Macaca mulatta: one gene and its partners. The protein of the gene in region 2 purifies or fractionates together with the protein of the main gene of each other region. This does not show direct contact. Links are inferred from orthologs where the notes say so. Each region holds a gene or a part of one and is shown on either strand. Other genes may lie near its edges. The genes, in order: ILF2, DHX9, PABPN1, ADAR, DICER1, HNRNPC and HNRNPA2B1.

Evidence for each region.
Region 1: the proteins of DHX9 (region 2) and ILF2 fractionate together in Homo sapiens (co-fractionation; 5 studies listed by BioGRID and IntAct, with this or other methods). This does not show direct contact. The link is inferred for Macaca mulatta from reciprocal best matches to the Homo sapiens genes DHX9 and ILF2.
Region 3: the proteins of DHX9 (region 2) and PABPN1 purify together in Homo sapiens (affinity purification with mass spectrometry; 4 studies listed by BioGRID and IntAct, with this or other methods). This does not show direct contact. The link is inferred for Macaca mulatta from reciprocal best matches to the Homo sapiens genes DHX9 and PABPN1.
Region 4: the proteins of DHX9 (region 2) and ADAR purify together in Homo sapiens (affinity purification with western blotting; 3 studies listed by BioGRID and IntAct, with this or other methods). This does not show direct contact. The link is inferred for Macaca mulatta from reciprocal best matches to the Homo sapiens genes DHX9 and ADAR.
Region 5: the proteins of DHX9 (region 2) and DICER1 purify together in Homo sapiens (co-immunoprecipitation; 3 studies listed by BioGRID and IntAct, with this or other methods). This does not show direct contact. The link is inferred for Macaca mulatta from reciprocal best matches to the Homo sapiens genes DHX9 and DICER1.
Region 6: the proteins of DHX9 (region 2) and HNRNPC purify together in Homo sapiens (affinity purification with western blotting; 5 studies listed by BioGRID and IntAct, with this or other methods). This does not show direct contact. The link is inferred for Macaca mulatta from reciprocal best matches to the Homo sapiens genes DHX9 and HNRNPC.
Region 7: the proteins of DHX9 (region 2) and HNRNPA2B1 purify together in Homo sapiens (affinity purification with mass spectrometry; 4 studies listed by BioGRID and IntAct, with this or other methods). This does not show direct contact. The link is inferred for Macaca mulatta from reciprocal best matches to the Homo sapiens genes DHX9 and HNRNPA2B1.

Annotation. Positions count from the first base shown.
Region 1 is NC_133406.1:113,368,415-113,372,503, reverse strand, and holds the start of ILF2 (interleukin enhancer-binding factor 2), read right to left. Parts: upstream 2,801-4,089; 5' UTR 2,713-2,800; coding exon 2,708-2,712; intron 2,014-2,707; coding exon 1,954-2,013; exon of another isoform or gene 1,922-1,953; intron 1,663-1,921; coding exon 1,620-1,662; intron 427-1,619; exon of another isoform or gene 408-426; coding exon 303-407; intron 1-302. UniProt on the Homo sapiens protein: Chromatin-interacting protein that forms a stable heterodimer with interleukin enhancer-binding factor 3/ILF3 and plays a role in several biological processes including transcription, innate immunity or cell growth.
Region 2 is NC_133406.1:40,346,667-40,349,078, forward strand, and holds part of DHX9 (ATP-dependent RNA helicase A), read left to right. Parts: intron 1-330; coding exon 331-560; intron 561-711; coding exon 712-827; intron 828-1,706; coding exon 1,707-1,907; intron 1,908-2,412. UniProt on the Homo sapiens protein: Multifunctional ATP-dependent nucleic acid helicase that unwinds DNA and RNA in a 3' to 5' direction and that plays important roles in many processes, such as DNA replication, transcriptional activation, post-transcriptional RNA regulation, mRNA translation and RNA-mediated gene silencing.
Region 3 is NC_133412.1:96,420,210-96,424,295, reverse strand, and holds the start of PABPN1 (polyadenylate-binding protein 2), read right to left. Parts: upstream 2,801-4,086; 5' UTR 2,783-2,800; coding exon 2,432-2,782; intron 2,322-2,431; exon of another isoform or gene 2,216-2,321; intron 2,068-2,215; coding exon 1,953-2,067; intron 1,251-1,952; coding exon 1,183-1,250; intron 869-1,182; coding exon 762-868; intron 288-761; coding exon 200-287; intron 115-199; coding exon 1-114.
Region 4 is NC_133406.1:112,413,048-112,416,547, forward strand, and holds part of ADAR (double-stranded RNA-specific adenosine deaminase), read left to right. Parts: intron 1-503; coding exon 504-729; intron 730-988; coding exon 989-1,160; intron 1,161-1,445; coding exon 1,446-1,539; intron 1,540-2,236; coding exon 2,237-2,359; intron 2,360-2,652; coding exon 2,653-2,786; intron 2,787-3,500. UniProt on the Homo sapiens protein: Catalyzes the hydrolytic deamination of adenosine to inosine in double-stranded RNA (dsRNA) referred to as A-to-I RNA editing.
Region 5 is NC_133412.1:168,387,166-168,390,665, forward strand, and holds part of DICER1 (endoribonuclease Dicer), read right to left. Parts: intron 1,648-3,500; coding exon 759-1,647; intron 1-758. UniProt on the Homo sapiens protein: Double-stranded RNA (dsRNA) endoribonuclease playing a central role in short dsRNA-mediated post-transcriptional gene silencing.
Region 6 is NC_133412.1:94,116,737-94,120,697, forward strand, and holds the start of HNRNPC (heterogeneous nuclear ribonucleoproteins C1/C2), read right to left. Parts: upstream 2,801-3,961; 5' UTR 2,629-2,800; intron 2,000-2,628; exon of another isoform or gene 1,954-1,999; intron 1-1,953. UniProt on the Homo sapiens protein: Binds pre-mRNA and nucleates the assembly of 40S hnRNP particles. Interacts with poly-U tracts in the 3'-UTR or 5'-UTR of mRNA and modulates the stability and the level of translation of bound mRNA molecules. Single HNRNPC tetramers bind 230-240 nucleotides.
Region 7 is NC_133408.1:102,187,161-102,191,405, forward strand, and holds the start of HNRNPA2B1 (heterogeneous nuclear ribonucleoproteins A2/B1), read left to right. Parts: upstream 1-1,445; 5' UTR 1,446-1,599; coding exon 1,600-1,605; intron 1,606-4,245. UniProt on the Homo sapiens protein: Heterogeneous nuclear ribonucleoprotein (hnRNP) that associates with nascent pre-mRNAs, packaging them into hnRNP particles.

The DNA of each region.
Region 1 (4,089 bases), about 73 Mb from region 2:
CTAATCCCTTCCATACGAGCTGACTCAATACTGACCTAGGACTTTAAAAACACTTCATTCTGGCCTTGAATATATGGAAAGAGAACAACTCTTTATCCCCAATAAAAATAAGAATGCATATGTAATTTGTTTATATATCCACCTGGCTGTCTCCACCCACAATGAGAAATAAGGAGAACAATTAAACCCTCTGTGGATTTCAGGCTCTGTTAACACCATTCTTAACCTTACCAACAGTTACTCTTTACCAATACTTTTACCTGCTTTAGAGACATTTCTGGAAGACAGCCAAAAGAACATACCTGTTCAGCAGAATTAGGAGCCAGGTCCTGATTCCTCTTCAGCAAGGCCTCACTGAAGGAGGTTTCATCAGGTGCTGGCTTGACCCGGGGGAAGGCCATTTCACACTAAACCAGAAGTAAACAACTACATTCCATTTGCCGAAAATAATATACAGGAGAGATTGTTTTTTCTATTACTACGACAGAAAAAGGTTAAAAATAGAAAATTCTACACTTGTTTTTACTCCTTAATTTGTTCAATTAGCTGGGCATGGTGGCTCACGCCTGTAATCCCAGCTGAGGTGGGAGAATCCCTTGAACACAGGAAGCGAGGCTGCAGTGAGCCAAGATCGTGCCACTGCACTCCAGCCTGGGCAACACAGTAAGACCCTGCCTCAAAAAAAAAAAAAAATTTTGTTCAAAGGCCAGGCATGGTGGGTCACGCCTGTAATCCCGGCACCTTGGGAGGCCGAGGTGGGCAGATCGCTTGAGGTCAGGAGTTCAAGATCAGCCTGGGCAACATGGTGAAACCCCGTCTCTACTAGATACCCAAAAAATAGCTGGGCATGGCGCCTATAATACCAACTACTTGGGAGGCTGAGGCAGGAGAACTGTTTGAACCTGGGAGGCAGAGGTCCTGATTCCTCTGCCTCCCGGGTTCAGTGCAGTGAGCCAAGATTGCACCACTGCACTCCAGCCTGGGTGACGGAGTGAGACTCTGTCTCAAAAAAAAAAAGAAAAAATGTTCAAACAAGGATACAAGCTGGAATAGCCATAATTTAAGCTATCACTATCTTTATAGTAACAAATTAGCCGTAGATACGATTACTTGTTCAGAACAAAGATTATAATCATGTTTAATGCCAACAGTAGTCAAGGAATTATTCTCCCCACCATGCTTACACTGTTTCTGTAGGTAAAGCAACACACAGTTGACTCAAAACCCCAAGTCTTTTCAAAAATCACTTTCCCCCTCACTTCAATCACCATTTTTTTTTTTTTTTTGGTAGTGGTGCCATCTCAGTTCACGCAACCTCCGCCTCCCGGGTTCAAGCGATTCTCCTGCTTCAGCCTCCCAAGTAGCTGGGATTACAGGCACACGCCCAAGCAACTTTTTTATTTTTACTAGAGATGGGGTTTCACCATATTGGCCAGGATGGTCTCAAACTCCTGACATCAGGTGATCCATCCGCCTCGGCCTCCCAAAGTGCTGAGATTACAGGTGTGAGGCACTGTGCCTGCCCTCTTCAACCACTATCTAACTTCATTAACTGGGAGATACTAGGCTCCATTTCAAGAATGGCCAGAAATTGTGTATTATTAACCCAAGGTACTCACCAAATAGAAGTCAAATGGGATATGTGGTACAAAGGGCCTGAACCTAAAACATGAAAAACAGCCAAATTATTCCCTATGTAGGAATCAAGTGAGATTTAAATAACACACCAACAATTTTGAAAACATGTCAGACCTCAGAATGAGTGACAAAGTCTCTGGGGAGGGAGAGAATCATTCTTAGCATAGTGGGGCCAAATTCATTTAGCAGGAGTGCGGAAAAGACCACAGTTGGCTCTCACAAAACCAAGTGACATTAGTCTATTCCAAAACTCCTATTTAGATGACAAGCAGAAACTAACAACTAAGTGCAGAGATGCTAAAAGCTGGCACTCACCCTCCTCCTGGGCCTCCTCTGGAACCAAAGCGCCCACCACGACCACGGCCTCTGTCACCCCTAGAAATGCAGATTTTATTTTGATCTCATTGAAGGAATACCCACCGGCCATATCATTTTAAGTTGGCTACTTTCATCCCTCGGAACCTCCCAACGGTAGGCAAGAGACCCCACTCACACACTCCTCCCCATTCCAAATGGTGCCCAGTTACACCCCCATAACCTCCTCATTCTGGATAAGTTAATCACAACCCCCCATCAAGTAATGATGGGGCTCAGACAGTGAGCCCTACACGAAATAACCCATAATCCTGGGCCACACGAATCCTAATACTTCGGAAGCTAAAGATTGCTCATTTCTTCATTAACGTACACATTTATCGGGCATGTCCTATATGTCAAGCCCTTCGCACTGAGGATGAATGCGGCTCGCTCCAGCATTCTCAGCCCGGATGACGGGGGCGGAGGGAAGGTGGGGAGCTCCTCCGGGGACTTGAGGACACCTCCTCATCGCAACCCTTCAGAGAGAGGTGTCGAACCCGCCTCCCCACTCCTGGGCCCCAACCCCATCCCGGGCCCGTTTCCCCGCCTCTACCGGCCTCACTCTCTCCCACTCTCTTAGACCAGGAGTTCTCAGGTTTTTGGCCAGCTCCCGGATACATGGTCCTTTTAGGTACTCCGACTTCTTTCGACCCACGTTCCCAAAGTTTTCCGTCGAATACCTGAAACCTTTCGACCACTTCGACCCCCTTACCTCATGGCGCCTTAAAACACGAACAATGGAGGCCGCACCAACCGCCCCTTTCCTCTGAGGAGCAGACAACTGAAGAGGAGTCTTGCCGGCGTGTCCCAATAAAACCCGGCGTGATTGGCTCCCGCCTTACCCCATCGCTTATGCCTATTGGCTTACTTTGTCAAACCGGGCTTATGAACCAATAAAAAACGCCTACTGTGTCAGGAACTAGCCAATAAGAACTGGTTCTATAGTAATGACGAATTTTTGATCAGACATTAGGTGGCACTGAAGAAGTCAGGACAACGACTACGTGGTCTTCTATAACAGTTATGAGAACGTTGGCCTTCAGATAGCAGAGTGGCGCAGCGGAAGCGTGCTGGGCCCATAACCCAGAGGTCGATGGATCGAAACCATCCTCTGCTATCGGAATTTTTTCATTGCCCTGTACCGTACACGTAATTTACATTACATTCAGTGAATGAAAATACCTTGCCGATTTTCCTACCCCAAAAACGCAAGCAGTATCAGCCATTTTTGCCACTAGCAGTTGAAGTTGATGGGGAAAAGGGAGTTTAGGCAACCATGAACACTACACGTCTACAAACTCGAAGCAGGAGAAACAGGTTTCAGATAGGAGGAGTATATTGATTGAATTAATGTGGAAAACAGGTGTTCCACCCGCCTCAGCCTCCCAAAGTGCTGGGATTACCGGCCTGAGCCACCGCGCCCGGCTTGGTTACATAAATTCTTTAGTGGTGATTTGTGAGATTTTGGTGCACTCATCACCCGAGCAGTATACACTGAATCCAACTTGTAGACTTTTATCCCTCATCTACCTCCCTTCCATACGTACTTTTTTGATATTTAATTTACTACAGCAGAACGTAAACATCTTAAGTCTAAACGTATTCTGTCCACATAACCACCATCCAGATTTAAATAAATGTTATTAATTTAAAAAAAAAAAAAAAAAAAAAGGGCCGGGTGCGGTGGCTTGTGCTGGCGGGCACTTGTAATTCCAGTTACTCAGGAGGCTGAGGCAGGAGAATCTTGAATCCAGGAGGCGGAGGTTGCAGTGAGTTGAGATGGCGCCACTGCACTCCAGCCTGGGTGATAGAGGGAGACTCCGTCTTAAAAAAAAAAAAAAAAAAAAAAAAAAAAAAAAAAAATCTTGCTTGAGGTTTGTTGAGCTTCTTGAATCAATGGCTTGAGGTTTGTCATCCATTTATATAATTTATTAGCTATTATATCTTCCAGTATTAGTTTTACCTATTATTTCCCTCCTTCCTGAACTCCAAAGACGTATTAGACTTTTCCCCCAGTAATCTCTTTGTCTCTTACCCTCTCTTCTATTATTTTATTTGTACACAGGGTCTCACTCTGTTGCCCAGGCTGGAGAG
Region 2 (2,412 bases):
GGTTATAAGGCTAGAACTCGTTTGTCTAGAACAAAATATGTCTGTGCTTTCAGCGGTTGACTGTCATGCTTTCCAGTCAGTAGCTAAGTACTCATAAAGTGTAGACTGGGTAAAAACGTCAGCCTTCATTCCAGTAGGTGTCCTCTTAGATTATCATTCCATCTTCTCTACAACTAACAACTATTGAAGAGTAGCAGATGAGAAAGTTTTACAGACAGGTTATGTGAAGAGAGGAAGAGTCAGTTCTCTGAATTTTCTTGAATAGTTTGCATGTAATGTGAAGATCAGCCAATTATCTGATTTTTCTTTTCACTCTGCTCCTCTTAACAGATTGTTTGTTGACACAAGTGTTTACTAACACTGGACCAGATAATAATTTGGATGTTGTTATCTCCCTCCTGGCCTTTGGTGTGTACCCCAATGTATGCTATCATAAGGAAAAGAGAAAGATTCTCACCACTGAAGGACGTAATGCACTTATCCATAAATCATCTGTTAATTGTCCTTTTAGTAGCCAAGACATGAAGTACCCATCTCCCTTCTTTGTATTTGGTGAAAAGGTAAGAAAAGACTACAAAAGTTAACATTGAAAGTTGAAATTGTCTTCACAATCATTAGGAATATGAATTTTGATTTTCAAAGCACAGTATGTGGCGGTATTTGGAAGTTGGAATGTCAACCATTTTGTACTGTCTCTTTCTCCATTTGCAGATTCGAACTCGAGCCATCTCTGCTAAAGGCATGACTTTAGTCACCCCCCTGCAGTTGCTTCTGTTTGCCTCCAAGAAAGTCCAATCTGATGGGCAGATCGTGCTTGTAGATGACTGGTATGGATTTTCCGCTGTGAACTCCAAACTGAATTCTTAGAATTATAATATGATGGAATTCAGCTGCTAATCTAACTTAATTATATACTAATTATAACTTAAATATATACTAATTATATCTAACTTAATTGCATAGTATATACTTAAACGGATACCAGTAGAAGCAGATGCATTAGAAATTTGAGCCATGTCTAACCACTATGCACACCACTATGGAATCAATCTAAGTGAAACTTGAATACACTTTCACATACTCTCTATATTGATTCAAAACTAGTGGCAAGCACTGGGCAAAAATGGAATAGAGCTTAATGGATAGCCAGTAGGCTCAGCCATCATATTCTTGAAAACCTAGAAAATGCCAGCATTCTGGGTCTCTTAATTCATTCTTTTAAAGTCTGGATGATCTGGCTGGGTGCCGCAGATGAGTTGGGCTCAGGAAGTTCGAGATCAGCCTGGACAACATGGTGAAACCTGTCTCTACTAAAAATACAAAAAATCTAGCCCAGTGTGGTAGTGCACACCTGTAGTCCCAGCTATTCTGGAGGCTGAGGCAGGAGAATCACTTGAACCTGGGAGGCAGAGGTTGCAGTGAGCCAAGATCATGCCACTGCACTCCAGCCTGGGCAACAGAGCAAGACTGTGTCTCAAAAAATAATAAGTCTGAATGATCCATATTGCCGGACTTTCTTTTGTTTATTATATATTACATATATTTTTGTATTTTATTTGGCTTGATAGACTTTAAGTAGTTTTTAAAAATATTAATGCTTAAGAAGTTAAATTTATTCTTTAACTTGCCATGTGTGAGGTTGAGAGATAATGGTCTTTTTCTTCATATACTCCCTCTCTTACTTTTAATGTTTTTCGCCACTTTAGGATTAAACTGCAAATATCTCATGAAGCTGCTGCCTGTATCACCGGTCTCCGGGCAGCCATGGAGGCTCTTGTTGTTGAAGTAACCAAACAACCTGCTATCATCAGCCAGTTGGACCCTGTAAATGAACGTATGCTGAACATGATCCGTCAAATCTCTAGACCCTCAGCTGCTGGTATCAACCTTATGATTGGCAGTACACGGTGAGTACCATATTAACTTCTCATTGAACCAAGTAGAGGGGAGAGATCTTTCATAGGTCTAGAATTCCTAGAGTTAGTGATAGAAGCCTTATTAAGTAAAATTCTAGATACAGATAGTTTAGTTCCATCTAACAAACTCAGAACAAAAATGTCATTTACTTTTGTTAGTCCCTTTGTTAGTAATTGGTCTACCGCATCAGTGCGTATTGGTAGTGTTGGAAAAGGATCTTACAAATACACATACGTAGTTCAGAGTAGGTCACATGACAGGGAAGTGACACAGCCCAGATAGCCCTTTTTCCATGGTACTGTTTTGGCATCTCTAAAGAAAAAATATTGATGAGATGTTAAATTGCTTCTTTATCCAATGTGTATGTGTTTTTGTTTATCTTAAACAACTAAGAGCATGGACATCTTAAAGCAAAGAAATGAGAAATTTATCTTAATTCTTAAAATTTTTATTTGCTTCAGGTTTTAAAATTTTTTCCTTTGCCCATGAGTTTTT
Region 3 (4,086 bases), on a different chromosome or scaffold from region 2:
GTAGAATCGAGAGCGGGAACTGTTGTAGTTGGTGGTCCGGGCGCGGTAGCGGGCTCGTGGAAAACCCCGGTCTGTTGTGCTGATGCCTGGTCTGTTGGTTCGTTTTGGGATCACCTGAGTCAGAGATGAACAAATGATAGCCTTAAAGTCAACCCAGAGAGTTTATACAGAACCAGAACAGCAATGGACATAGGCTTACCTTGATTTGCCTTCCTCTAAATAGGGACTCATCTAAGGCCAAGGAAGTCCTCACTGACTCTTTGTCTGAGAACTCTATATACGCAAATCTGAAAAGAATTGTCATTGTATCTCTCTGAGGTTACAAATACCTCACAAGTCAAATTCAACTTGCAGGCATGCTTCTTTTTGGGCTACAATGTGGTTACATTTTTTATTTGTCAAAATTCTTCTAAATGGAAAATTTCATTCAAAATCATTTAAATTTTAAAATTTCCAGCTACTCTTTGAAACTTGTAAAAATAAGACACACAGGGCCTGAATTTCCATATGGCCATAACAGGCCAAGTAGAAGCTGCCCCTCCCCTTCTAGTTTGTGATCCCACCCACACCTAGCCTTCATTTTTGTTATCTGGCCTCTGAAGACATTTAGGTGCAACTCTTGATATATATCAAAATTGATGCCATGATCTTAAATGACACAGATCACCTGTGTTAACAGCAAATAACTTACTGCTCACTATAAAACATAATTTATCTATTTTTGCACTGTAAATTATCTCAACTTACTCCCCTTTACTTACCCTTTGGGATGGCCACTAAATTTGTCACAGAGTATGGTAACACGGTTGACTGATCCACAGCCATGAAAGTGAGCTTCCAGCTCTTCTGCTGTTGCACCATAGTCCACCTGATGAGAGGAGAAAAATTTCACAGGCACCAGGCAAATTCCTGTCTCAACAGGAACCCTCCCTAGCCTTTGGTCTGGGCCATCTATACACCAAAGCACATGAAATCTGGTAATTTGAGGAACTAATCCTTTTGCTTCCAAACCCAGAGCCTTTGCTGATTACTGATCATTCCATTACCTTTAACCTCCTTCCCACACTCCCTCCACACACCCCCAAAACCACACCGATCCCGGAGATGTTCCTTCCAGGACTATTAAATAACTCCCCAAAAGAAGAACTTGCCCCCAACCCCAATCAGAGCCCCAGCACATACATTGCCAACATAGATGGAACGGGCATCAGCCTCCATCTTCTCCTCAATGGACATGATCACTGGGCCAGCTATCAGGAAAAAATAATATTTTTTAAAAACCACACACTTGTTTTTGACCAATATATTGCACTTCCACCACCAGCACTATCCCATTAGCTCAACGAAGGCAAAGATTTTGGTCTGTTCTGTTCTCTGCTGTACCCATAACCTAGAATAGTGCCGAGTCCATAGCAGGTACTCACTAAACATTCGATAAATTGAAAGAATAAACTAATACACACTTACAACAGTATAGGAATCCCTCCTGCCTCCAAATCAAATCCCTAATGAATGGCTTTGGCTGAAATGCTTTTAAGAGTGAGCAAAATTAAGTGGGCTGAGACTCCACATTTCTAGATTAAAGGGGAAACCCCTTGCAGCTTGCTTTCTCTTAGAATCCTAACTAAAGCGTTTCCAATTGGAAGAAAACTATTAGATTTGAAGGTCAAATGCGAGCTTGCAACCTCTACAAAGGATAGACGTAGACTAAGAACAAAGAGCAACACAATTATAACAGGGACAAAGGGAAGCACAAGGCTACCACCACCAAAATATAGGTTCTGCCTCACAAAGGTCAGGCGAACACACAACGGATTATGACCGCGGCACAGTCATAATAGCTCAGACAAGCAGCTCCAGGGTGCCGAGTATCTTACCCCACATTCCCCATCTTCCCCACAACCCTTCCAGCCCGAGAACCCTGGCTCCGCGTGCAACCGCCAGTTACTCACCATTGCCTGGAGGTGGACTCATATTCATCTGCTTCTCTACCTCGTTCTGTAGCTCCTTTAGCTTCTCAGCTTCTTCCTCCATCTCCCTGACTCGAGCTTTGATAGCTTCCAGCTCCTAATATAAGTGGGGAGGGTATGGAAGAGAGCTTAAGAGGAACCAACGCAGGGGCTGTGCCCTGCTCTCGGCCGGAGCGCGGCCTCAGCCACGCTCGGCCATTTCCCTCGCCCCATGCGAGGGTCGTGATAAAAGAAAAGCAAGCTACCCTCTCTAGAACAACACTAGGCACCCGTGACGCCCGAATCAAGCCAGCCGGGCCCCTTGTAGTGATCGCTGACCCATCCCCGGCCCGACCCGGCCCCAGCCACGTTATTCCCCGCCCAACCCCACCCCCCGCCTGCCTCCCGCTCGCCCGAGCTCTGGGCCTCCAGTGACCCGGCCGGCCAGCCGCCGGCCTGCTGGCTCGCCCTCCTTCCCTCACCGGGTCCTCAATGGCGCCGTCCCCCGGGTCACCCTCGACCAGTCCCGGCTCCTCCTCCTCCTCTTGGCTGCCGGGGGCTCCCGAACCAGGCCCAGGGCCCGGAGCTCCCGGGGGGGCGCGGGGCCGGGGCGGCTCCTCTTCGGGCTCGGGCTCCGGCTCGGGCTCCAGCAGCAGCTCCTCAGGCTCCAGTTCCTCAGACTCCAGGCCGTTCCCGTAGTCCCCTGCGCCCCCCGGGGCCCCCTCCCCGGCCTCCCCACCGGCCCCGGGCACAAGATGGCGCCGCCGCCCCGGCCCGGAGCCCCGACCGCCCGCAGCCCCCGCTGCTGCTGCCGCCGCCGCCGCCGCCGCCATCGCCGCTCAGACTGGGGCCCGCCGCCCGGCGATTGGAGAGCTGCGCCGGCCACGCCGAGGACTCATTAGTCAAGCTGCCTGCCCGTCACCACGAGCTAGTACTCCATTGGGGAATATTACTTGGCAATCAAATGAGACCCCACCTCTAAGGCGGGGTACTGTGCCAAATTCTCAAATCCCGGTAGGGGAAATCTGCCTGTCAATCAACACGCGTCCCACCTCCTATCGAGTCCTTAGGTAATAATACCGCCACGCTGTGACGATATTTCTGCTTCTCCCCGGCCTACGGGCGGGCCCGCGAAGTATAGGACGCTCCGTGATTGGCCCTAGCTAGGCGACTGGAAAGGACCAATCTTCCGATCGCCTCACCGCAGTGGCCCAGTCTCAGATGCTGATTGGCTCGCGAGATTCGAAGGAGTGACACTCGTTTCGTGACAGGTGAACCTTGCCCCCGAACGGACTGCCCGGCTTCAAACTTGGAAAACCCGAAGTCACATGACTAGCCAGCCCTTAGGGGGCCGCCATCTTGATACTACTGCTTGCCAGCTAGTGAGCTGTTGGCCGGGTGAGGCCCAAAACAGAGCAGCAGTTTCAGGAAACTTGTATCCTGACCAGGAAGCACTAGTAGATGGGATATTGCTGAAAATGGAGGTTGTGAATGAATCATTCCAGGAGGGAGCTTACTTTCTCCATCCAGGTTATTGGCACCATCATCCACTAGCTCTCCCACACCAGAAAGCAGGGAGAATTCCTCAGTCCAGAGCTACTAATCACGAGTCCTGTCTGTCCCACCCTCTTGTGTAGACCTCCTGCTCCCTAGTTCCAATTTCTTCTCTTCCCAGGACAGCTTCCAATGTCACCCTTCCAATCTGCACCGTTAACAGACTAGCCCCCCTTTGCAGGCGAGGTAAAGCCTCAAAACGGTAAATCACAGCCTTCGACACCCCAGCATGTGGTTACTTTGTGGATGTCTCCTTCCACCCTTCTCGTTCCATTTTGTGTACCTGCACCCAGTCTGTGCCTCTAACATGTAGTTCCCCTTCAACCAAACCACTGCAAACCTCAGCTTCCCCTCATTTCCCAGGACAAGTGGGCCTCTCTCCACAGCGCGCTTCATTGTTTTGTGGTTTCTTAACTAGGTTGTGAGCGCCTTCAAATGAGGGGCCGGATACTATTTATATTCACATCTCCACAGCCTGGCAATATGCCTACCACATAAGGTCCTGTTAGATGTTTGTTGATTGAGCATGCATTGATTGGGGATCTGGGTGCCACCCTTCATTTCAGCCCTCAAGCTCCCAAGA
Region 4 (3,500 bases), about 72 Mb from region 2:
TAGGATCATAGCTCACTGCAGCCTTGACCTCCAGGGCTCAGGTGATCCTCTCACCCCAGCCTCCCGAGTAGCTGAGACTACAGGCACACACCACCATGCCCAGCTAAATTTTTTTTTCTTTTTTAAAGAAACAGGAGTCTTGCTATGTTGCCTGGGGGATTACTACGTTGCCCAGGCTGGTTTTGAACTCCTGGCCTCAAGTGATCTCCCACCTTAGCTCCTCAGGTTGCTGGGATTACAGGTGTGAGCCACAGTGGCTGACTCTAAGAAGTCAATTTAGAGAAAAATATTAAGTAATAGTCCAAGTGATACCTGGATCTGGCACAAATCATGTGGCGATTCATGAATGACCAAAATCTAGGACATGCTGCCTTAGAAACAGCTTCTGTTTGACAGGTCCATATGTTTGCAAGACCGGCCACATCTTCAGCAAAACTAACCCTTCCTTGGAACAACTGTCAGGATCTGGCGCTTGTCTTCATTCTCTGCTTCTCATCCCAAAGGTTCGTTTACCAAGCAAAAGTTGGGGGTCGCTGGTTCCCAGCCGTCTGCGCACACAGCAAGAAGCAAGGCAAGCAGGAAGCAGCAGATGCGGCTCTCCGTGTCTTGATTGGGGAGAACGAGAAGGCAGAACGCATGGGTTTCACAGAGGTAACCCCAGTGACAGGGGCCAGTCTCAGAAGAACTATGCTCCTCCTCTCAAGGTCCCCAGAAGCACAGCCAAAGACAGTTAAGACGTCTACTTTTGGTGCCTTTTTTTGGGGTGGGGGGTCCTCCTAACTTCTCTCTAAGTGGAGGTGGCTCTTGCTGTCATGCGAGTTATTCCTAGGCTTTACTTTTAGCCTCAAGAGAGCATATAACTGGGACACTAGATATAAGAAGGAAAAGATGACTCACACGACAAGTAGAGCTTGATCTCCCTGCCATGGTGAATATGGTGGACGCAGCCTCAGCTTTGTGGTGCTGACACAGCCTCCTTTCCCCACAGCTCCCTCTCACTGGCAGCACCTTCCATGACCAGATAGCCATGCTGAGCCACCGGTGCTTCAACACTCTGACTAACAGCTTCCAGCCTTCCTTGCTCGGCCGCAAGATTCTGGCCGCCATCGTTATGAAAAAAGACTCTGAGGACATGGGTGTCGTCGTCAGCTTGGGAACAGGTGAGTGAGGCTGAGTCATGCCGCCTCCTGTGGCGCCTGAAAGCGGGTCCCTCTCATCCTCCCCTGGAGTCCATGCAAGTCCAAGGCAGGGAGAAGGGACTTCATTTTAGCTGCAGTCAATTCAGAGTGAGGAATGAGTTAGTTCCTAGAGGAGAGAATATGGGAGTCTAGGATCTGAGAAGTTGAGGCTGTTTCTGCCTTGAAGCTTTCAGAACAAATAGCCATCATCCTGTTTGTCATCAGTTTCCTTCCATTATTCTATTTCTGTTTTAAACACCTTCCTAGGGAATCGCTGTGTGAAAGGAGATTCTCTCAGCCTGAAGGGAGAAACTGTCAATGACTGCCATGCAGAAATCATCTCCCGGAGAGGCTTCATCAGGTGAGCGAGATCAGAGCTGGGGCCTGGTTGCCCGGCTCTGGAGAGCTCCAGTTCCCTGTCGCACGTGGCTCTGACATGGCCTCTCTGAATCCCCCTCTGACAGACGGGTCATGATGTGGCAGTGGCAGCCTTTGCTTTTCACCCGTCCATTTGAACCTGTCTGGTGGAATCCATCCCCTCTGTGACCTGAGCTGCCTCCCACTACTCCGCGTGGTTTTAAATGCTGTCCTTTGTTCTGCCAACTCTGCTGCTTCGTGTCCTTTTCGGAAAACACAAAATGACCTTTTAGTCCTCAGGGCCTTGGGGATGAGGCAGCTTTCCATTTCTATTTGAGGACCTACACAACCTTGATGCCCCTGCCAGCTTTCTCCTCTAAGTCACCTTTTCTTTAATTTATGAAGGGAGAGACTTGGAAAGGAGCAACAGCTTCCTGTAGTCCTTGAATCAGTTTACTCTGCCCTAGAATCCCTGTAGCTGCCATAGCGAGGAGCCCTCAGCAGAAATGAAGGAGACCCAAAAGGCTAACTATGCTTTATGAAATGCTGGGGTCTCCCCTGGAGAATTTCCACCTGAGAAACTGTGAAAGGTCTGCAACATTGAGGCTTTTCCTTACTTGCTCATTTGGAGGTCAGATTATAGAAGCAACTGTTTTTCCCAGAATTGAACCTGCCTTCCTAACCAGACTTTGTTTTTGTAGGTTTCTCTACAGTGAGTTAATGAAATACAACCCCCAGACTGCGAAGGATAGTATATTTGAACCTGCTAAGGGAGGAGAAAAGCTCCAAATAAAAAAGACTGTGTCATTCCATCTCTATATCAGGTCTGTACAGTTCTTGTTGCTGCCAGGGTGGGCCCTGCCAGGCTGTTAGAATTGGGTATCCGAATGCTCTCTTGGCCTGTAAATCGGACCTCATACAATAAGCCACACTCCACCGTGGGTTTGAGGTCCATATTCAGGTGTAGAATGACTCACGTATACTGCTGTCCACCTCCAGTCTCCCATGGTAGGCCTTAGAAAACGTCCATTGCTTCTGTCACATCTAGTTGTTTTGGAGCCCCATGAAACTGCAGATTTCCCACAGGTGAGTTTTAACAGCCACTCCTGTTTTTCAGCACCGCTCCATGTGGAGATGGTGCCCTCTTTGACAAGTCCTGCAGCGACCGTGCTATGGAAAGCACAGACTCCCGCCACTACCCTGTCTTTGAGAATCCCAAACAAGGCAAGCTCCGCACCAAGGTGGAAAACGGTGAGTGATACATGCCCCCGCCTCCTTTTTGCAAAAGGCTCTGCAAGACCCCGGGCCCCCAAGTCTCTGCAAGGCCGTTAGGATTTTACCAGTAGTCACCGGGCACAGAGGTGCTGTTTACAGGAAAGGGAAGACCTGGGTGGGGAGCTGTGTGGTAAGATCAAGGTTCTATTTTGAATGTGTTAGTTTGGGAGACCTTGGAGATCCCCAAGTCAAATAGGAAGTGGGGGTTCCCATGTGAAGCTTAGAGGAGGGAGCTTGGCTGGAAATAGAAATATGGGAGTCATCCCCCTATAGGGTCTTCACGGCCACGGGAATGCATAGGATCGCCTCGAGAAAGGGGGCAGGAAATGAAGAGTGCGGCACAACCAAGCCCTAAGGAGGTGACAGATGAGGATGCCAAGTGCCCGGGTCCCTCCTGTCTAGCTGGCAGTTGACTCTGCATTGTCCACTGGCTCCTTCTCTCCTGTCCTCTCCTGTCTCCTTACTGTCTCCTCACATCCACTCCGTTGCGTTCAGGCCACGTCAGCAGTCATCATGGTGGCCCTGAAACCCTGCTGAATACCCTAAAGTATAGACACAGTTACATGGAGCCAGTGCTCCACTCCTAGGTGGATGCTCCAGAGAGATGGAGACCTGTGTCCACGCGGAAACTAATATGTGAATGTTCATGGCAGCGTTACTCACAAGAGCCAAAAAAGTGGAAACAACCCA
Region 5 (3,500 bases), on a different chromosome or scaffold from region 2:
TTTGCTGATCACCTTAACCTACACTGTTTTTATTATACAAACTACAAATTTTATATTTTGCTTTGGTATTCTGAATTCAGGCACTTATACCTCCAATACAGAAATCGAAATGTAAACTTCAGCTGTGTTTCACAACCTGAAGCTGATTTGGGTGTGAGGGGCTTGTTCTCCCTTCTAATCTAATGGGTTGACAGCCTATTAAAGGGGAGGGAAATACAGAGCACAGTGAGAAGTAGAAGATGACAGCAGAGTCACAGCAAGGGCCACGCAACCTTCTTGTGAAATCATTGCTGTTAATCTTTTATTCTATCCATCTTTAAAAAGACCCTAAAGGAGGACTTTTTTTGTCCAAGAAGAACAATAAAAGGCTGTGGAAATACATCCAGAATATACAACTAAATCAAAAACCAAAAGCAGCACTGAATGGGCAAGAGAAAGATACCTGGGGAGGATAAAATGGGGAAACCACATCAAAATACTAAGGTTCAAATTTCTCTAATTAGGCAGCATATAAAATGACACTGATGAGGGTATAATATGATAGCCATACTCCCAACAAACCAAAGTTATAAAGCAATACGTGCTCCCTAAATAATAAAGAAAAGAACTCTTTCTTTTCCTTTTGTTCCCCGCCCCATCCCTTGAATATTAAGCACAAACACTGTACATGCATAGATCACCTTTTACAAGGCCAACACAATGTGATAAACACAAAGTCTCATTTTCCCAGAAATGCAGTTTGGTTGTGGGCTCCTTACCAGTGATAGTATTGTAGTGGTAGGAGGCATGTGTAAAAGCCTGGAGAAGGTAAGCCTTATTCTTGAATCTGTAGTTGATTTTCTTTTCAAAATTTTCAAACCCCGATATAAGGTGATTCAGTGTTTTATCTGCATCTGGATGATCAAACATACATCTTGGTGGAATCTTCAAACAACCATATTCCAAGTCTTTCAATACAGAAGAGCGTGAACTGGCCATAGAAGCAGCAGCACAGCTCACTGAAAGGTTCTTTTGTTGGCTGTTGAAATTCTCCCGAGTAGGGCACAGGGCCTTTTCCCGATCAGTCCTTTTAATTACCGGGAGCACCTTCAGCCCCAGTGAACAGAGGAAAAGCTGAGCAGCCCTCTCCCCACAGCTGGTTAAATAGCAGCCCAGCAGGGCTTCCACACAGTCCGCTATGCTTTTGTCAGCAATACACTGCTCAGTGTGCAAGTCGTAAGAAATGGACTGCTTTCCCGTGTCAACACCACAGTTTTCTTCTGATGGATTCCAGAACCCCACCACAAAGTCATCTTCTTCAACAGCTTTGCTAGGATCCAGATAGCACATTGCATCCCAAGAGCTGTAGTCAAAATCCTCAAAATCTGATGAAAATGGCATACTACCTAAGGAGGATTTTTTGGGCATTTTCCATTCATATGCAGAATCAGTGGTTGAAAAAGGAGAAAGAGAGATTTTCTTTACAAAAGCTCCTGACCCCATTAACATATTATCTATAAATCTGATATGTTCCTGATCATACTCCAGGAAATCATCTTCATAGTCAGCCTCTTCCTTCGGAGCCCTCCACATCAGGCTCTCTTCCTCCTCATCCTCCTCCTCGTAGTCCTCATCCAGTTTACCATTCGCCAGCATGCAGTCTTTTGTCTGAAACGAGGGGGAATGGTGAAGGAGGGGAGACATAGCTGCTGTTTTTAAAAGGGTTTGAAACTCAATAAAAGCAAGGGTTATGGATAATTTCAAATGACAACCACAAATACTAAAAGGCAACTTTAAAATCATGGCCATTTGTTTTCAATTAACATAAAATAAGTTATTTAATCATATAAACAAAGTAAAACATGTTCTTTGAATGTTCGTTTTCTAAGTTATAAAATGACCTTTAATCCAGTATGAAGCTTTAAGTTAAGGATTTTGAACATGGATATTAAGTTAAAATTAATGTCCACAATGCAAAACTTCAACTAAGAAGTCTAACTCCGGTAGGACACACAATGAAAGCACTCATATGCTGATCACACAGATCTTCAATTTTGCTGACAAAATTTGAAAATGTGGTAATTTGATTTTCAAATTAATAAAATGAAATTCCAGATGTAGAAAAGCATTACCTTTGCAATTAAGCATATAATATAAAAACAGATAAAATCAATTTTTAAAATGTACAATAGGATTTTATAATAAAGTTTTTGTCCCTATTTCCACTTCGAAGTATACTTGCCACAAAAAACTACACAGCTTTGCTTAAAAAATAAAAGTGATCACTGCACTAAGCTATGAATTTGAGAAATTATGCTTTTCCCCTCCACTCTGAGCTACAGTAATCAGGGGAACAGATTATAGCATAACTGACAAAAATGGAAGAAAATTTAGACTAACATGAAACACAACAATCCAATTTCTGTCAAAAGATCTTTGCTAATTCCAATTTCTTTGGCAAAAGCTTATTTGTGAGTGACAACCTTAATAATGGGCTAGATTTCAGTAATGATGTAACTTTTTTGCAATCCTAGAAAGATGCCAAATTTCTGTTATGCAAGTTTTTAAAGAACCAAAAAACTTTACTTGTGAGGAGGGAAGGCGAAGAGTGTGCATCAATGTTGACTGTAACAACTTTCCAGAGTGTTCTGACCAAAAAATGTTGTAACCTTCAGGCATTTTTTAAAATACTACAAATATTTCATTTTAAACTAGACTCAAGATATAAACACTATATTTGTCTGAAAATAAATAGCAGTAAGCCGGGCTTTATCTATAACTATCTTTTCACTGTTTTCATTAAGAAAAAAACATCTTTTCAAGAATAAGGAAGAACACCAAAAGCAACTATAGTGGCAGACCTCAAGGAACATTTCCTGCTAAAAACCTTATACTTTCCAAGGCATTATGAAGATGTTTTAGATTACTGTTTGGTCCTTAAGAAAAAAAGGGCCAAACTGCAATTTTTAAAAAATCATACATTTTTTTTTAATTGAAAAAAACTTTCTGTATCTTTAGAAAGGTGCTACCATAAGCCAAAAGTGGCAGAGCACAAAAATCACAAAGGGCTGACTTTTATCACAAACTGTGTGATCCTGGGCAAAGCCTTTTAGTGCCTCTGGGTTTCAGATTCTTCATCTACAAAAGAGTGGGGTTCTACCTCATAAAATGTTTTTCAAGAGCACTTCAAGCCTTTTAAGAAAAAACAGCCACATGAAATCCTTTCCTGTATCATTCAAGTCAACTTTGACACTTTCTTCTATCAAGAGGCGTTTTAGCATGCAAAGGTTTTCACTTAAGCCCATTTGCTGAAGGGCCAGAGCAAGGTAGGGAGAACGGCAATGCAACCAGCCAAAACCACAGAGTATCTTTTCAACATAATGCAAGGGCCTATATTTCAATAAAAATAAGTTACTAAATAAAAATCTGAACAGTATTTCTAATGAATTCCAATAACCAAAGTGTCATCATAAACATTAAGAAAAATAAATTGAACTTTGTGTTGTATCTTAAAAAAAAAA
Region 6 (3,961 bases), on a different chromosome or scaffold from region 2:
AAATGTAGTATACACAAAACCAAAAGCTTCCCATTTCCAATGAGAATACAAGAATATGCATATTAAGAGCAAATAATGCTCCCCAGAGACAACTACTAATTATTTGAAGACTGAAATAATGTGGTTAAGAATAGTAGTAACTACTACTAATTTAGAAAACTGGGGCCGGGTGCCGTGGCTCACACCTGCGTAATACCAGCATTTTGGGAGGCGGAGGCACGAGGATTGCCTGATCTCAGAAGTGAGACCAGCCTGACCAACACGGTGAAACCCCGTCTCTACTAAAAATATAAAAATCAGCCCGGCGTGGTGGCGCACGCCTGTAATCCCAGCTACTTGGGAAGCTGAGGCAGGAGAATCGCTCAAACCCGGGAGGCAGAGGCTGCAGTGAACCGAGATTGTGCCACTGCACTCCAGCCTGGGGCAACAGTGAGACTCCGTCTCAAAAAAAAAAAAAAAAAAAAAACTGCTTTAAAAAGACTGCATCTGTACAGTTTTTAGTCTTCTGGCAACGAAAAATTTGAATTAGAAACTAAAAATTCAAATAAGTTAAAAAAAAAAAAGTCTAAGTCCTCTTATTTAAGCAAGGAGGATTAAAATCTATTTCTCCTCCTAGGCAAACTTACTCCCTATTCAACACCTCACATTCAACACTTAATATTAAGTTTTAATAATTTGCCCCTTAGTCTTTAAAATTAGAGCAACTAGCTATTTGAGTTTATTCTTTGTGTCGCACTGCCATTCCATCCAAAACAAGGTCGAATGCCATGTCAAATCCTCTAAGAGATTTAATTACAAACGTAAGCTGTTTAAATTCTCCACAGAAGGAACATCAACTACCAAGTATTCCCAAGAGTGGCACACGAATGGGGGGAAAAAAAGGTCAGAAAACCTGCAACCTGGCCATCCTTCAACTTTTCCCCCTAGCCAATACGCTAGCCAATACGAAAATGTTACTAAATGCCTATCCAGTTGAGAACACACCTGGAATTGTGATATAAATGCCGTGGCAAACAGTTCTTGATATTAAAGAATTTTTGGTACGCTGATATACATACTGATCTGATATACATACTGATCGGAAGGAACCCGTATTTCTAACACCTCAAAGGCAAAGAAAAGTGCCTGTCAATCAATTTCAGCTATTATCAACTGTTCTTAAATACTAACTTCTGACATTTCTCATTGCCAACATTTTTACTACATGATTTCCCCATTAATCTATTTTTGCCTTTACCTCATTTCTAACAGTTTAGCACGATGATAAACTTTAGTTTTAAGTTCCTGTAATAATATATTTAAACTTAAAGGGGTCGCGATGTTTTTGACCCTTATTTTACTTCCTATCAAATAGGTTGCCTTACAGATAAATTTCTTACCCGGCAGAATTGGTTTAAACTGTGCTTAACAGCTTTAGTTTTTGTGAAATTAACAGATTGTAAAAAATAACCAAATCTCATGTGAGGATTTAAAAAACCGATTTCCCAGATAAGTGAACGTGACACTAAAGATCTGTAACTTTAACTTACAAGTTTTTTATCAAATTTCAGCACCGAGCAAATAACAGCACTGTTAATATTTGCTTAATAAAATGTAGCTGTGAATTTTTGCCCAAGTTTAGGTGGACGGGAAAATTAACATCAGAATAACCCGAAAGTCAAATTTTGTCATCTTACACTTAGGAAGTTACGTTAACAACAAATTCTCAAGTCTCGTAGTATTTTTCTTAAGCGCAATTTGGGAATTTCCAGTTACCTCGTGGTTTCCGTCATCAGGTTCTTGCAAAGATTCAAATATTGTACTTTTAGAACCCGGTATTCCATTAACCAGGTAAAAACCACTCGACTGACCTCGTGGTCAAATTCCTTAGTAGTTCTGCTACTGACTTAATTATGACCCTAGCAATCAACACTTTGCCTCAGTTTCTGTCTGAGAAAGAGAGTTAATACCTACCTCAAGCAAAGTTCCACTAACTTATATATTTCAAGTGTTTTGTAACCTGCAGATGAAAAGTCAGCTGTAATTATTAATATAGTTATACACAATATTTCCTTTTACAAACGTAAGTGAAAATAACTACTTCGAGCTCCATTATTTGCTCATAGAGAGGAATAAAATAAAAAGTTATCAGTAAAATGCTAAATCTTTTGTTAAACCTTTCTCATAGGCCACGCGGCACGATCCAGGATTTAAAGGCTCGCGATACATCTACTTGGTAACCTTCCCCCTCCCCCTCCCCCAATTTTTACATGTAAGAAGAACCGAGGTAATAGAAGGCATCGGCGCTATGTTAACTTCGACTATATTAATGAACATCGCGATCTTCATTTTCAGGATCCCGGAGTCCTCGCGGTCGTAGAAAATGAAAGGAAAGCAGCCGTTAACACAGGAAGAGCGAAAAAAGGGCATTTTCCCTGGCGATCGTGGCCCAGAGGACACCAGGTTAAACCTACGCAGAGGCTGAGGCCTGTAAAACCGCCTCCCGCTTCAGACCTAATCCCCCAAAACAAACAGAATAAATGAGGGCCCGGTTAGTTAGGGGGAAGGGTTCCCTCATATTCTCTCCCACACCCCCTCTAGCTTCCCAAAAAACCCAGCGCCTTCCCTGCGTCCGCCCTCTCCACTTACCAGGAGGGGGGAGGGAGAAGAGATTCGATTCTGAGTCTCCTACTCCCGGATTCGGCGTGAAGAAACCGACTGCAGGTCGAGGTCGGCAGCGCGGCCACAACCGCTCAGTCTTCGTCTCTTCACAAAATGGCCCCCGAGTCTCCTCTGCCGCCGAGGCGAAGGCCTAGTCCCCGCCCCATCCCTAAGAATCTTCCTATTGGCTGTGTGTTTTTTCGCTCCCGCTCCTAATTAGACAGTTCAACCGCTTCTCACAATGATATCCAGTCACAATTGGCAGTGGGTTAGACTAAGCAGAAGAATTTCCACATGCGTGAGAGAAACTAGTTTGTAACTGGTTAATTTTCCTGTCATTTATCGTCTGGGGAATGTTTATTGGCTATTGCACCGGACGACCCTCTGGGTGGAAACTCGCCTTTGTATCGCGCACCGTCTCACATCCGGGTATCTGGAAGGCCTGATTGGCGGCCGCGGTGTCCTATCGCTGCTCCTTAGAGTGCCTAGTAAAAGGTTCGCTCAGACCTCGGATTTCCGGCGGCGCGGGGGCGGGGAAGGGCTTGAGGGGCGTTGTTAGGTGACGGGCGCAAAGGACTTGCCCTAGCCCCGGGCCTAGGAGAAAAAAAGCGCGAAATGAAGCCTCCGGCGTGCAATATGAATAAAGAAAGAACTTTACTTAAAATGAGGAGGGAGCAGCGGTGACTAGGCCGTGTTAAAGTGTGTAGAAAACTAACCAGCCCTGCCGTTTTTCCAACCCGAGAGCCTTTCTCAGGTCCAGATTCGAATGTCAGCTACCTCGTAGACATCTCTGCTTCTCAGCCTATTAAACCCTTCTTCAGACAACACATATTCCATCCAAACCAACTGACTTCCTTATTCCTCTCCAATATGAAAAGTAAATGAAGTGCAAAATCCCGGCCTCTGGCCCAAGTCATCTCACTAATATCTTAAGTGCCAGTAAAATTGGCCCATCCCTCCGAATCTGCTCCCTTAATTTCCCTCCTCTTAAAATGGCTTGTCTCCTACGTACCCCCGTCACCTGCCAGTCCTTCTGGTTACATTATAGGAACTGCGCACACAGTGGATTAGCATCAGCTCTACTAAGGGAGCCATTTCTTTTTTTTTTTTTTTTCTTTTTTCTTTTCTTTTCTTTTTTTTTTTTGAGGCAGAGTCACTGTCGCCCAGGCTGGAGTGCAACTGCCTCCAGTTGAGGTTGATTGGCGGCCGCGGTGTCCTATCGCTGCTCCTTTTTTTTTTTTTTTTTTTTTTTTTTTTTGAGACGGAGTCTCGCTCTGTCACCCAGGCTGGAGTGCTGTGGCCGGATCTCAGCTCACTGCAA
Region 7 (4,245 bases), on a different chromosome or scaffold from region 2:
TCTCGACCCAGCCCCGCGTGGCGGCTGGGGGAGGGGGCGCCTCCGCCGGAACGCTGGTGGGGGAGGGGAGGGAAAATGCGCTTTGTCTCGAAATAGGGCGACCGTCGCCACAGCTCCCTACCCCCTCGAGGACCGAACAGTCCCCCCACTAACTGCCGGCGCCGGCCCCGAGCCAGGTCAGCCGCGAGGCCACCGCCCGACCCTCTCCACTCCTTCCCGCAGCTCCCGGCGCGGTGTCCGGCAAGGAAGGGAGGGGAGCGGAGAACCGGGCCCCCGGGGCGCGTGCAGCATCTGATGCACCACCACCGAGCGAGGGCTAGAGAGAAGGAAAACCACCGACTTCACCGCCTCTGAGCTGCTCCGGGTCGCGGGTCTGCAGCGTCTCCGGCCTTGCGCGCCTACAGCTCGAGCCACATCCGAGGGGGGAGGGAGCCGGGAGCTGTGCGCGGGGCCGCCGGGGGGGGGGGAGGGGTGGCACCGCCCACGCCGGGCGGCCACGAAGGGCGGGGCAGCGGGCGCGCGCCCGGCGGGGGGGAGGGGCCGCGCGCCGCACCCGCTGGGAATTGGGGCCCTAGGGGGAGGGCGGCTGCGAAGACCGCGGCACTTACCGTTCGCCCCGTGGCGCCTGGTGGTCCCCAAGGGGAGGGAGGGGGGAGGAGGGGCGAGGACGGTAACCGGAGTCTCCTCAGCGGTGGCTTTTCTGCTTTGCAGCCTCAGTGCTGGCGCCAAAACCGGACTCCGCCCACTTCCTCGCCCCTGCGGTGCGAGGGTGCGGAATCCTCCAAACGCTTGGGGAGAGAGAGTTGGGAGCTTAAAAACTAGTACCCCTTTGGGACCACTTTCAGCAGAGACCCCTCCTGTACCCCAGGGGTCAGCTGCATAGACGCGGGTCAGGGTTAGGTCAGTGTGGCGTGAACGATAATTTGACTAGAAGTTGATTCGGGTGTTTCCGGAAGGGGCCGAGTCAATCCGCCGAGTTGGGACACGGAGAACGAAAAGGGAAGGCTCATATTATACTACGATTTTTCTGGCGGGGGTTATCAAAGGCGTAGCTGCAGGGACCACCTCCCAGGTTGAGAGGGCTGGAACTCCGGGCTCCGGATTAAGCTCCTCCCGTCAGCGTTAATTTCAAACTGCGCGACCGTTTCTCACCTGCCTTGCGCCAAGGCGGGGGGCGGGACCCTATTCCGAGAGGTAGTAACTCGCGGGACTCGAGCCTTCCGCAATTCACTGAGCGCATTTACGGAAGTAGCGTCGGGCACTGTCGCTGGCCACAGGAGGGGGAGGAGTACGCATTTGGCGTAAGGAGGGGCGTAGAGCCTTCCCGCCATTGGCGGCGGTTAGGGCGTTTACGCAACGGCCTGACGTAGAGGAAGACGCGTTAGTGGGGGGGAAGGTTCTAGAAAAGCGGCGGCAGCGGCTCTAGCGGCAGTAGCAGCAGCGCCGGGTCCCGTGCGGAGGTACTCCTAGCGGTGTTGTTTCTCGAGCAGCGGCAGTTCTCACTACAGCGCCAGGACGAGTCCGGTTCGTGTTCGTCCGCGGAGATCTCTCTCATCTCGCTCGGCTGCGGGAAATCGGGCTGAAGCGACTGAGTCCGCGATGGAGGTAACGGGTTTGAAATCAATGAGTTATTGGAAAGGGCATGGCGAGGCCGTTGGCCCCCTTGTGGAAGTCGGCCGGCCGCCTCCGTGGGAGAGCGGCAGGAAATCGGACCGCTTCAGTAGCAGTGGGGCTTGAGGTTTATGAACGGGGTCTTGACCGGAGGCCTGAGCGTACAAACAAGCTTCCCCACCCTCGGCCTCCCGGCGCCATTTCCCTTCACTGGGGGTGGGGGATGGGGAGCTTTCACATGGCGGACGCTGCCCCGCTGGAGTGAAAGTGGGGCGCGGAGGCGGGAATTCTTATTCCCTTTTTAAAGCACGGTGCTTCGGGGGCCACGGCGTCTCCGCGGCGAGTGTTGCGGCGGGCAGCGGGTCCCCGTGAGCGAGGCTGCGGAGCTTCCCCTCCCCCTCTCTCCCGGGAACCGGATTTGGCGGCCGCCATTTTCATGGCTCGCCTTCCTCTCAGCGTTTTTCTTTTAATTCTCTTATTCTTTTAGTGTGCTTTCTCTGTCAAGGCATAGAAGTGGTTAACTATTTTTCTTTCTTCTCGGGCTCTTTTCATATCGTTTCGAGGTGGATTTGGAGTGTTTTGTGAGCTTGGATCTTTAGAGTCCTGCGCACCTCATTAAAGGCGCTCAGCCTTCCCCTCGATGAAATGGCGCCATTGCGTTCGGAAGCCACACCGAAGAGCGGGCGGGGGGGTGCTCCGGGTTTGCGGGCCCGGTTTCAGAGAAGATACCACCACCCAGGGCGTCGGGCCGGGTTTAATGCGAGCCATAGGACAAAGAAACCGTTTTGTAGTTTTCCTGTTTTTTAAATTTATTTGAGTAACGGATATATTTGGGTCTGCAGTCACTAAAACGGCAGATGAACAGCAGCAAAAATAAACACTTTGGAAGCCATCGGCCACGAGGGGCAGGGACGAGGATGGTTTTCTGGGCGGGGGAGGGATATTCGCGTCAGAAGCCTTTACTGTTCTTAAGGATTCCGCTTAAGTTGTAAAGCCGACTCGTATTTTAAGTAATGTTTTTCCTGAGAAGTTTAATCCTTACGGGACAGTTCCATGGATCATTATAGATGATTAGTTAGAAATTACGAGGAAAGCGAAATCACGATTTTATCCTTAGTTGTACTTCGGTTAAAACATGGCTTCAGAGGCTCTTTCCTGTAATGCGTGTGTATTTTTGTGCAAAATTGTTTTGGGCCTGGGCCGCTCTGTATTTGAACTTTGTTACTTTTCTCATTTATGTTTGCAATCTTGGTTGAACATTACATTGATAAGCATAAGGTCTCAAGCGAAGGGGGTCTACCTGGTTATTTTCTTTGACCCTAAGCACGTTTATAAAATAACATTGTTTAAAATCGATAGTGGACATCGGGTAAGTTTGGAAAAATTGTGAGGTAAGTAATGAGTTTTTGCTTTTTGTTAGTGATCTGTAAGACTTGTTATAAATGTACATTATCGGTAATTTCAGTTTAGAGACACCTATGTGCTGACGACAATTAAGAAAAAACTAATTGAGAAAATGAAAATATCTATTTTGGCAAGTAACCATTTCAAGACTGCGTTGTGTCTCATAGGAAGTAGTTTAATCATTTCGGTTAATGTTTTTTTTTTTTTAATTTTTACCAGTCCTGAAAACAATTACAGGAAAAAATCCGAACTGGCATTTACCACTATTTTTTTTTTAGCAGTTGGGAGCATGTGAATGGAGGGAGAGAGCTCTGTAGAACTGGGCTGAGAGCAGCAATTCTTCTTGCTAGGAACAAAAAATAATTCTTCATTCAAAATTACTTGTGACTTTTTAGTGTGCATTATGCATTCGTAGTAGTTGGTCCTGGATATCACTTCCTCTCGTTTAATTTTTTTTTTTTTAACGTAGTTACCTTTTAAGACAGGTTTACTTAACATTCTTAACTGCCCAAAATACAGGGTTGTATAATACGACATATTTGCTTGTTTGCAGGTATTAAAGATTTCAACTCTGAGGTTTTTCCTATTGAGTTAGAAAATTGTTTCGTGCCGTGTCGCTTGCCACATGGCCAATCAAGTTCAGTAAGCTTCAGCTTTCAGTAATAGTTAGCTTAGAGATTATGCCAGGTGAATGTATTTTATTGTACATAAGGTTAAGCTGAGTAATTCATATTCTGTATTGTCATATCCTGTATAGACAGTGTCCACCAAAAACCTGTTAAAACTTTTAAGATTTGAGTGCTGCTGGTCATAAAAATGAATTTGTCCTGGTTTTAAGTAATTTTTAAGGTTATTGCTAATGCATATCATGATTTTAAATATTTTTGTCAGAGTCATAGGGAGAAACAGTATTTTAAAAAGTTTTTTTTTGGCTAATATACTTAGAATCACCACCAGAGGGGGCAGTTAAGGGAAAATGTTACTGAATCGTGAAATAAAAACTTTGGGTCATAACCATCGAACCAAAAGTTATTTTCTGATGTTTATAAATAGAAATCTGGGTTTTTAGGTTATAGGGTTGAAATTTTTGGTAAAGATTTAGTAATCTTTTGATAACCACGGTCTACATTTGTTCATTTCTCCTTAGAAATTTTTTAAATTAAGTAATAATACATTTGTTTAAGATAATTTAATGTTGAGTAAATTTAGATCAAGCATTAATGACTTTGA